3 linked regions of the Lepisosteus oculatus genome follow. The protein of the gene in region 3 interacts with the protein of the main gene of each other region in a pairwise test. Links are inferred from orthologs where the notes say so. Each region holds a gene or a part of one and is shown on either strand. Other genes may lie near its edges.

What was found.
Region 1: the proteins of xrcc4 (region 3) and aptx interact in binary tests that used the Homo sapiens proteins (3 or more experiments, as listed by UniProt). The link is inferred for Lepisosteus oculatus from reciprocal best matches to the Homo sapiens genes XRCC4 and APTX.
Region 2: the proteins of xrcc4 (region 3) and aplf interact in binary tests that used the Homo sapiens proteins (3 or more experiments, as listed by UniProt). The link is inferred for Lepisosteus oculatus from reciprocal best matches to the Homo sapiens genes XRCC4 and APLF.

The regions. Positions count from the first base shown.
Region 1 is NC_090696.1:33,581,094-33,584,851, forward strand, and holds the start of aptx (aprataxin), read right to left. Parts: upstream 2,944-3,758; 5' UTR 2,572-2,943; intron 2,340-2,571; exon of another isoform or gene 2,049-2,339; intron 679-2,048; 5' UTR 667-678; coding exon 537-666; intron 1-536. UniProt on the Homo sapiens protein: DNA-binding protein involved in single-strand DNA break repair, double-strand DNA break repair and base excision repair.
Region 2 is NC_090712.1:8,482,354-8,486,111, forward strand, and holds the start of aplf (aprataxin and PNK-like factor), read right to left. Parts: upstream 2,550-3,758; 5' UTR 2,479-2,549; intron 2,475-2,478; exon of another isoform or gene 2,392-2,474; intron 1,867-2,391; 5' UTR 1,856-1,866; coding exon 1,763-1,855; intron 1-1,762. UniProt on the Homo sapiens protein: Histone chaperone involved in single-strand and double-strand DNA break repair.
Region 3 is NC_090698.1:70,696,188-70,699,945, reverse strand, and holds the start of xrcc4 (DNA repair protein XRCC4), read right to left. Parts: upstream 2,874-3,758; 5' UTR 2,859-2,873; coding exon 2,845-2,858; intron 2,678-2,844; coding exon 2,639-2,677; intron 1-2,638.

The sequences.
Region 1 (3,758 bases), on a different chromosome or scaffold from region 3:
CTTGCTTACTGTTGATGTCTTATCTGAGGGTTGACAGACGAAAATAAGAAACATTTTCAGTGGAGGATTATCCTCTTTGTTCATTTGCAACTTTCCCGAACAGCTATGGCAACAACCACATCCAATGGATTGGGTTAGAAGCCAAATTCTGGGTTAGATTTGAGGAAAGCAGTTGCACAGGGAAGATATTTTGGCAGTCCTGTGTGAGGCTGTGCATCGTAACACCCTACTGTAGCAGGACACCTTTGCTGACATCATGTCTCTCAGTGTAAAAAGCATTCAATGAGCCAGTCTTTTAGAAAAATGGGGTTAACACTCATTTGAGATCAATATATCCAGTGCTTGGATGTCTGCCGCCTTTGGCAGATCTGACTATAGACTCGACACTACCCTACAACTGCTGACACAACACACTGTGAAATTCACAAAACCAGCAAGTTTACGTTTACTGATCTGATTAACATGCTGACTGAAATCATGGGTGTGGAATTCGGGGAAAGAAGAGTGGAAAGGCCGGCTTGAGTTACTTACGTTACCTTGTTCTCTCGAGCATTTCTTGTCTACTATCGTCGTTTCTGGGCCCCGACCTAGGATCACCGTTTGCAGATGTGGCAATCTGATAGGTGCGTGGCATCCATCTTTCCTCACAAGCCAGCAAACCCGCATTATCTCCCTGTCCTTTAGAGAGGGTGACAAAAATGTACAACTGTAAGACATGCTGACAATTCATGGTCTGTGGTACACAAAGAGACTCAGTGACCACTTATGATACTATTCTTAAGACTCCCAGTAATTTTAGCAGCTACTGCACTGCTGAGACCCTTGCTTGCTATTCCTTCAATCTGCTACACCTTTGGTTTCTTTTTAATACCTGAGGGCTGTGAAGACCTAAGCGGACCTGTTAAACTCACAATATTCTAAATAAGATCTTACTAGCGTATTGTACAATTTTAATAAAACAACCTTCTATTTAAATGTTATATTTATATGATATATGATTTATAATGATATATTATATCTTCTTTGGCAGAATACTCTCAAACTCCTTCTAAATCTAAACATACTATATATATACACACACATCTTATTCCTAGTTTGTGTCCAGCTCTGCTTATACGTGTTGAAAGAATTCTGATTGTCCCATAGAATCCTACTGGCAAGCAAGTCTTGTTAAGCTAATCACTACATTTTTTAAAGTTTGTTATTATTATATGCCTCCAAAGTGTCCCCATGTGTGATTGGTTTGCACCTGCCCTGCGATGGACTGGCGCACCGGGCAGGGTGTGCCCTGACTTGTGCTCGTTGCCTGCTGGTTAGGCTCCGGCTTCCCGCGACACCGTGTGTTATAAAGCGGTTTGGCAAATGACATGACATAAGCATTACATATAAGTATTTTCAAAGGACTTATATTTTGTCAGTGCTCATCAATCAGACATGCTGTCATTATTCTTCAAGAATATCAGACATTCTTTACAAACTTGCATATGTTTTAGGGTTCTTTTTTCTAGTTGATCCCATTATTGCATAAAATGCAGCTCAGCATTTAAGAATTTACTGTACATGGGGTATTTCGGCTGATCTGACACTGGCATCGCATCTAAAACACAGGTTAATAACTAGCAAAACCGGATTGATTCCATTTTAAATGGTATACAAAACATTTCAGTAAAACTAAGGCGAGAGCTGGATACTCTTCTAAAAGTTTCTGTACTAAATATTAATGGCGAATATTTTCGGTGGTAGTTTGAAATTGAATAAATAATATCGGTCTCCATTGTATCTTTCCAAATCCATCAAAGTAACTGGAAACCACCACTACAGCATCCTAGTCATTTTTACCCTACTATTTACATATTTGAAGCAGCATACATTATACAGCATAAGATACCAAGTTAAACCTCAGCAGGTACCATGAACGGCATTACCAAATCATCATTTTCTGAGGATTTTTAAACACTTCAAAAGCAAAATCGGAATAATGTTCTCCTATTTTATAAAACATTCATTCACAGACTGTCTATAACAGTGATTTAGTAAAAAATAAATACCTTTAATGTACGAGTAGCACTTTTTCCTCTGAGAAAACTGGAACTGCAAATCAACGTCAGCAAACGCGGATGACGTCAATGTACAACACGCGAAGAAGGACAAACTACACTAAAAACAACCTGACAACGCTTGTGCAGAAATTAAAATCCACTACTACAGTAGTCGAAGCGATAGTACTGATAATACAAGTTAAAGCCCTCTTAAGAGTTATTTCTCATTACTTAATTACAGTTCCATTCCTATAGTACGCATCTGGTTGGGATGGGTTTCTAGACTTAAACTTTACCTTAATTGACCAAAGGACAATAACTGAAGAAATGTTTCAGAAGTATATTATTGTAAATTTTATGTTATTTTTACTGCTTGTATAATTTGTAGTAATACGATAAAGCTTTAGCTTTAGTCATGCAATATTGTATTTAAGAGTCAACTTAGTTACTATCCAGAACAAATTAGTAGCTGCTGGTAGGCGTTGTGAATTTAATGCACACGATTAGTAAACGACGGTATTATTCATCTCACCAAAGCGTTTAGTGCACAATTTTGAGGTCCACGTCATTAGTTTTCAATCCATTTTTACAATCCCGTCCTGATTCGAAATGTCCCTTTGAACGCGGAGTGCAGTCGTGGTCAACCTAAAATTACAGTCAGTAAAGTAAAAGTTTGCGATTTTATTTAATGACGAACAAACCAGACATAAAAATCGAGCCTGGGCCACCCAGTTGGAGGATGCGTTGTGAGTATTGGTGGGTAGTTTTAGGGTCTAAAATGATCACAATGATTTAAAAGCGAAATAACCTAGCAAAAGTGGCTTGGATATTGCTATACGATATGTCTGCACACACTAAAATGAAAAACTGCTGCAGAATCAGAGCCCGGCACAAGCATATCAGCACAGACCCCTACGTGTTGTGGGCGGTGCGGCCGGTTACGTCACGAACCATTGTGTTACAAAATCCGGGTGTCGGCGGAAGGAGGGAAGGAGAAGGTTCTGGAACTTCGTTGCCAGGGTGGAGGAGGGGGGAGAGTCCAACTTTAATTTGTAAGTCGATTAAACCAAAGGTTTATAGCGCACGTACAGTTTTCTTGAAGTGTATATTCTAATAGGAAACGTGTGGTGTAACGCTCCGCGTTTTGGATTCCTTGGGAAAAGTGCCTGAATTATAAAGTGTGAGTATACTTGTTCCGTTCGCAGTTACAGTAGGTACATTTGAGATGACAGTGACATATATTCTTTGTATATGCTTAATTCTAAGTGTGAGTATTACATTTACAGTATTAATGACATTTTAATAAAATAATATTACAAATGGGCAGGGTGTATGGCTAGTGTCTTTATGGCCCTCTTCTAAAATGTTTAAATTTCTTCTATTCTTAGCGCAAGTGTTGTACATATTTTGAATTTTAATGTCCGTTTTAAACTCCTAGGTGTCTTTAAGCAAATCGGGTTAGAGAGAGCGGTCCGGGTGGGAGGTGGAGGTGGTGGGGTTGATGTTGTTGCGCAAGAGGGTTCTCGAAGGTTTTTCAAGGTAAATTAGTCCCCTCTCTCGCGTTGCGCGTTATGTCCAGGCGTGGAAAGCTGTTTCTTCCGGGCTCTAGAAATCTTAAATACAGTACGAGGTCACATATGTCACTGTCGCTTAGTAACTGCCCGACGGGTAGAATTCACCAGATTTCCATCGGCTGATGGGAGTCTAGACCCAGGTCGT
Region 2 (3,758 bases), on a different chromosome or scaffold from region 3:
CCTTAAAGATTCATTTCTTTCTGTTTACTTGACCAAGAAATCTCAAAATCTAATTTCTCTGGAGACATCTCCAGGGCTCACAGATATAAGGCAAAATCCAATGATTTGCAGACCAGTGACAAAGCAATTACCCCACTGATTATTCTCTTAGTGTTAGGAAATCACAGGAGGAAATGTAATTTATGTTTCTCCTTACAATCTAGATCAGAAGAAGGTGTGTGCGTGCCTGTTAAACCATGTGTCTACTTTATGGAATAGAATCAGTAAAAAAAAAAAGTACTCAGCATGCAAACATTTTACAGTACATCTAGATTTATACTGGTGTGGCAAAAATGAAACTTGTAGTAAACAGTGCCTATAATTTGCACCTTGAAAGGCTAAAAGCTCAGGACTCACAACAAAATAAATTATTCTTTGTAATAACTCTTTTTAAGTGACAAGGGTTCATAAATTAACATCGCCCGGTTTTAGCTCACAAAGGCAGCAGTCTGCTCCTCCATCCATAATACCATTATAGACTTGATTTTTTATAAAAGCTGATAGACTCCAAAGTAATCTGAAAATAAGAATTCAAGAAAAGCTCCCAACTTTAGTGATGTGCTTTTTGCTGACAGAAAGCCTTGTATTACAGTGCCATCTAGGAGTGCAGAGTGGGCTCAAACGCCAAAATAAAAAAGGCTTCTACATTTATATCACATTTCATTTCCTGCATTACTATATTTGAAAAGAGATCTATCTTATGGGTGTTACAGAACATTACTCAATATTACCTTAATTTATATTATCTGATAACACATGTAATCGTTTACTACATAGCTTGTACACATCAAACATTGGGTATTAACATCCCCTACCTTGGACGTTTTTCTTTAGTTTGTGTGATAAATAAAACCAGGCTTTTTGTGAAAGAAATCTGTTACTCATGCCAGCAGCTAGACTGACTTTGGAAGACTGTGTGGTCTTCCAACAGTAAAATTTCAATTTCTGTTCTCTTATTCTAGTCCCGTGTTTCTCAGACCTATAGCTGCCAAATTTCACCAATTTTTGTTTTGCATTTGCAAGATACAAACGGTTATGTGCATGTCCCTTGTATAGTATACACAGAATTTTAATTATATACTAGTGCAAAATATATTGCTGCAGGTAACAAACACAAATTAAATCAATGTGAGAGTTAGGGAAGTATATGATTTTCTGACTTTTTGCAAGGTAAATCTGCCCTTTCTATGCTTGTACTTTATTCTGCCACAGCCTACATGCTGGATGTGATTTCACTACACTTTAAAACGCTTTGCTTTGATCACAGTAAACTTTAAAGCAGCTATGCTGAGGATTTAAGTTTATGTTTGAATTGTTCGTTTTGTAAAGATGTTTTTAAAAGTCAGAAACTGGAGTGACTTTTCTTTCTGAAGAATATTGTCATATTGACTGGTATGCCATTTGAGGCTATGCTGCCCACTTGTGGTAAAGAAGAACGTTTCTGCTATTACAGACACCCACGATTAAATGTATATGTTATATACCTCATAGGATCTTAAAGTGCTTTGCTCATAAGAGGGGACCAACTTTATCCACCGATGAAGTGTAGCATCCAGCTGTTATACACGACGGTCAATATTGTGTTGATTACACGTCACAAATGTCTAAATGTTCTAAAATATCTTGCTTTTAAGCAAAATGAAATAGCTTGACTGTACCTCTTACAAGTAAAATATCTGCAGTGCTTAAGGAAATAATTGAGGTAGGTTTAAAAAACACGTACCCTGAGAAGAGGTCCTCTTCCAATTAAGGTTTCTCCAACTGGTAGCGGGATTGAACAGTTCCCGTCCAATGGTTCCAGTTCAAATCCCGACATGTCCACCTATCCTGCAGAATCAGAATTATACAATATACATTTTGACGCATTCTGCGTGTGCTTCACAAATGCAAGTCATAAACATTAAAACAACCGAATGGTCAATTACAATGTGTGACTAAACCTTGGGTTTTGGAACCTCAGTTAGAGTCCTAAGATCAAATCAGACTTCACTCGCTGGTCAATTTTTGTTACTGTGGTGTGTACATATAAGCATTCGATTCAGAAGAGAAACCTGAGCAATTACCCAACATGTAATTTAAGTCTAATTTGCCTCAATCCATTAGGTCATCAAATGTTGCACATTTATATGGCTAGGATGTCTTCAATAGTCTTCATATATATATCAAGTTCATATAATTTTTCTTCAGTACAATAAAGGTATTAAAACTTTGCTGATTAACGATACAAACAACAGTATCACTGTTTTTTGACAACCCTGTATTTGTGTAGTTGTATAGTTTTGCAGATGCTTAACAAGAAATCGAGGTACATATGCGTTATTCAGTACAATAAAGTACAAATAAGGTCCTTACGAGAAACATGCTCAAACGTGCTACTGATACCAGGCTATAGTGCCACACTTTCGTTTTAAAGGTCTGCTCTACGAGCTTAATCAATACCTGTGGTCTGATTTTTCGTTTGCCACCTGGTAGGCACTCAGATAACAGTTCAAAATCGTGTTTATTTCCGGTAATTTTACAACATAGCTCAAGTCGCATGCACCGACTATCACATAGAATTCTGGGAAATGTGGTCGTTTACACTACGATAAATTAAGGCCACTTTGAAATATACCAGGATTGAGACAACATTTTCCAGATTTCACCAAAATTGGTAAAAACCTCCATAAAAACGTAACACCTCCACATGGTGCCTTAACGAATACCTTGAAATTTTTGGACAGAGCTATTTTTATAAAGGTAAAGTTCGTATTCAAATTAAGAGACATATTTAATACTGTTAATTTATATTTAAATACAAATTTAATTTGAGTATTACAAGAATAATAAAAAACTGCTGTGCGTGCATTTCTACAAACTTCATTTCTCTAGTGACACCGTATTCTCTTCCCAAAACCCAGCGGTCGTCCTGTAAATAAACTACATTTCCCAGACACTTCCTCGACTTGCACGCATGCGTTTTTGCCATGTTGGTCAGTAGGGGTGCGTCATTGCGTAAATAAAAATTTGAAAAGGATAGGCATTTAAACTGTCAGCTGTCACATAATGACGTGAACCATAAGAAGGTATGAGTTTAAACGGTCTACAGTTAGTAATTTTAAAAAGAGATTAGTTGTATGTAGTTATGATTTTAATTTTAAAATAAGTCGTGACTTTAAAGCGTTAAAGCAGTCATTTATCTTTTAAAAACGTTCATTTTCTGATCGGTTAAAGGCGTAATCTGTTTATTTTCTAGCACTGGTAACGGCATATGGTGAGCCAGGTAATTTTTAAATCTAAAAAAGCAATTCAAAGTTAAACACACTTATGGTACCCGTACGTAAACCGCGATTATAATGTTTGCAAAATATCCATTTATATATTTATATGTTATTATATTAATAACAATGTAAACATTACTGCCTGTTTCATGACCCGGCAGAGATTATGTTCATAAACATACGTGGCAGTAAGTGTTAATTTGATTAACCCTCCCCTCCTTCACAAAAAGACGGTAATAAACGGTGATCTGCAGTAACCTTGCACTTCCCCTTGTCGTGTGATTATTGCATCTGATAGGATTTCGTCGTGTACATATATGTATATCAGCTTAGTTCTTGGCAAAATAAGGATATGAATGCAGACTTCCGCGAAGTGAACAGCTAAACATATTTCTTAATTTGCCCCAGTAGTAAATCTTCTGAGTTTTTAAATGTACCCCCCACACACACACAAATAAA
Region 3 (3,758 bases):
CAAACCTTGTCACAAACTTTCTATTGGATTCGTATCAGAACATTGAAGTTTGCGGAGCAGTGGCACTGTGGCTAAGGATCTGCGCCTGTGGCTGGAAGGTTGCCGGTTCGTATCCCGTGGCCGGCAGAGGAATCCTACTCCGTTGGGCCCCTGAGCAAGGCCCTTAACCCCAACTGCTCCAGGGGCGCCGTATAAATGGCTGACCCTGCGCTCTGACCCCAAGCTTCTCTCCTCGTCTGTGTGTCTCATGGAGAGCAAGCTGGGGTATGCAAAAAGACGAATTCCTAATGTAAGAAATTCTATATGGCCAATAAAGTGATCTTAACTAACTTAAACATTCATTCCATTGTTGTCGGACCACTTCATTGTGCTTTGGCCCTGTACTGAAATGTGATTTTAGAACCGATTTTAGATTCTTGGGCAACTAAAACAAGTACTGTATTTCTCAAGACTTTGCTCCATCTATTTTCCCCTTAGTCTTGACATGCGTCTCCACTGAAGAGAAGCAGCCCCGTAACTTGATGCTGTTACCAGCATACTTGAGAGCTGGGGTGGAGTTGACTGGGTAATGTGTTGTATTGGGCCTGCATCAGATGTAACTCTTTGCATTTAGACTACAAAAACATCAGTTTTTGTCTAATTTGATCATAAACCCTTCTGTTACCCTCCATGTCTGCATTGTATTTTCTAGAAGATTTGAGATGAATTGTTTGCAGGAATGTCTTCTGTCATTGCTTTCACCCATAGAGACTACCTCATGCTGGGAACAGTGATAGTGTATGAACAACAACTCCCATTCTAGACAAAAGAAACTGCAAATATTTCAAAATCACTGTTGGCTTCACAGTTACTTTACTAACCACTTACCTGCTTGCTCAGCTGCTGAGTTTGTGTCTTGGTAATATGCTGCAAATTCCAGTCCAGTTGTCAATAATGAACTTCACTGAATTAAACTAGCTTTCTTCTACTCTATGCCTTTATCAGTTTATGCATAATTTGTTTCAACAACTCCTTGGTTTTCATGGTCAATTTGGTGTGTCACAATATGAGCTTGAAATGGCTTGAAATGCAGTATCTGACTGAACTTACAGAGACAGATGCAGTTACTCTGAACTGGTCAATTCACACCACTTTGATTACACACAGACAGGGAACGTTGCATGAATGCTGTGATCTTTCAGACTGTTATTTTGCACCTCAACTGATTTAGGTCTTCCGTAATAAAGAGGGTTGAATACTTATGCAACTGAGAATCTTCTCATTTTCTATAAAGATCTCATTTATTTGCTCGCCATCAGCATTTTTACCTTTACCAGTTTGAAGTAGACTCTGTAGATTTGTTGTACTGTTATTGCAAGCTCAGACAGAAACAAAATGTAGAAGCTTTGCGGTGGGTGAATAATTGTGCAAGGCACTGTAATCAGAAAAGCAAGAAACACTTCATTAATTAATGCATCTTTTTACCTTGCGTTGATAAGTTGCACAGACCATAATGTTCTGTTTTCTCCATCACTCACAACAACAGTTGTTAAGAAACACTCAGAGGAAAATGAATGGAACAATTTTCTTCTAGGTTTTCATGTTTGGTTTGCAATTGAAGCCTTTCACAAGGCCCAGGGGTATGTTAAAAACCACATGCCTCCAAGGCTCACTTTTACTCCAAACAACACTGCAGCTTAATGAAAACAACCCCTCACTTCATAACAACCCTGAATGGTTTCAAGTTAGATAACACCAATAGAAAATATCAAATACATGCACTGATTCATAAAATTACAGTAGCTGTAGAAGCAACAGACAGGATCTTGTATGGACCAGACATGTACCATGCACAGGTACTGTATACAGTAGGTATCCAATATGAATTAGTTGGACTAGTGCACAAATATTCCAGTTCTCAGATATAAACTGCTTATACAGCAGAGAGGACAAATGTGTGCCCACTCATTGAAACAGAACCATACAATTGGATTAAAATGGATGACCTTGTGTTGACAGTGGTGATATTGATATCTGATTACAATCTTTTCTTCCCATCTAAAGTGCATTCTCAATTCAATGATACAAGGCTGTTTCTCATTTCTTTAGCTCACCCGCTGTGCAGTGGGTGATCTGCTATCCTATGGCTACCACACATCGCCAGGATACCACCTTCACTGCTCGCAGAGGGGCTAAATGGGCCAAAGGACCTCTTCTTTGCTGAATGGACTGGGTCACCTCCTACATGAAAAGTGCTTTCTAAAATGTCGAATAAACTCAAATACTGTAAGTATATTTATGGTGGTCTGCTTGAAACCTGGGACAACAGTGTAAGCTTCCAGAGCTACAAAAGGCTTTTCTCGGGGGCTGATTATAACATCTAAAGTGGAATTACGAATCAGAAAAGAGCTTCAACAATACAATTTATTGTTAAAGAGGCAACTTACTCAACCATGGACACGAACATTAATTGTGAGCATTAAACTAAAAAATGGCAGCAAGACAATATTTTATACACTGTAAGTATCAATATCTTTTGGTAATTTTCTTGGCAGTAAGAACTATAGAGGCTTGTACTCTCAGTGGTTATGGAAACTTAACCTTTGAGTACAATAAACTGCATAGAGGGGTAATGTGTCAACGTTTATATATTACTTACTCAACAAACATTCCAATAAAGAGAAAGATTAGCTCCGTGCTGAAATGACAAAAAAAAACAATTATACCTGTGGAACCCTCTTTAGGTAAGAGAATATTTACCAATTTTTTTTTTATGTACCACCATAGATGTGACGACCATAATTTGTAAACCTTTTGTGCATACGTTTGGGGACCCCTGTATCTACTGTTTTTTATCATTCTTACTGTAATCTTGTCATTGATCTGCTTGCTTGTCTTGACTTTTTTTCTGCACTCTGCCTGGATTAAAACAAACAACAAATCAGTCATTAAGAATTTGCTCCCTTCTTTCTGATCCGAAACCTCTTCAAAGTCAATCATCGGATGCTGAACGGACGCGGAATGTCACTGTGTAAACGGGCCCATCACGACCGTTTGCTTCTTCCTTCCACTTAAGTCCTGCTGGTTATGTTTCAGCTCACACAGCGGAACGAGAGGCATCCTGAAACTGAAAACGGCTCAGGGTTGATACCACTTTCAAATGCCATGTGACTTTTTATAAGGGCTGAATGAAAATTTGCCAGACACACTTCAAACGGGACAGTGAGAGCCTTTTGACTGCGACGAAGAAATATTTCGCTGGGTCAAAAGCCAAAGGACACAGCGGTCCTTCAGGACCAGAGCTGAGAATCACTGGCCTGTTTCCTCCATGGGTATTCTTTTTATTATTATTTATTTTGTACTTTATGGGTACTTCCACGGAAAACACAGGCTGCGTAACAAAATACCACCACACAGTATGATGCCAATAATGCAACACTCCTTACATCGTATCTCAAACATATCTGAAACCATGAAGAGCCACATCAGGTTTGGCAGTGACAAATCTACCACCAGGATAAAAGTTACGGTATTGAATGACATATTAGTATATGTAATAGTATATTATGTGTAATAGAATATGCTCCAGTATGCAATATACATCAAGGCTGTGCATTTCTTCCTTACCTTTTATAAGCAATTCCAACCTGAAGGTAGAAAAAGCAGCATTTCAGCTGTGGAGCCTTCTTCAGGTGTGAAGGCTTTTAAATACAAGGTCTCGATAATTTGAGACCAGAGTTGGATGCAGCCTTTACGTGTTCCTTTGCAGCTTGGACACT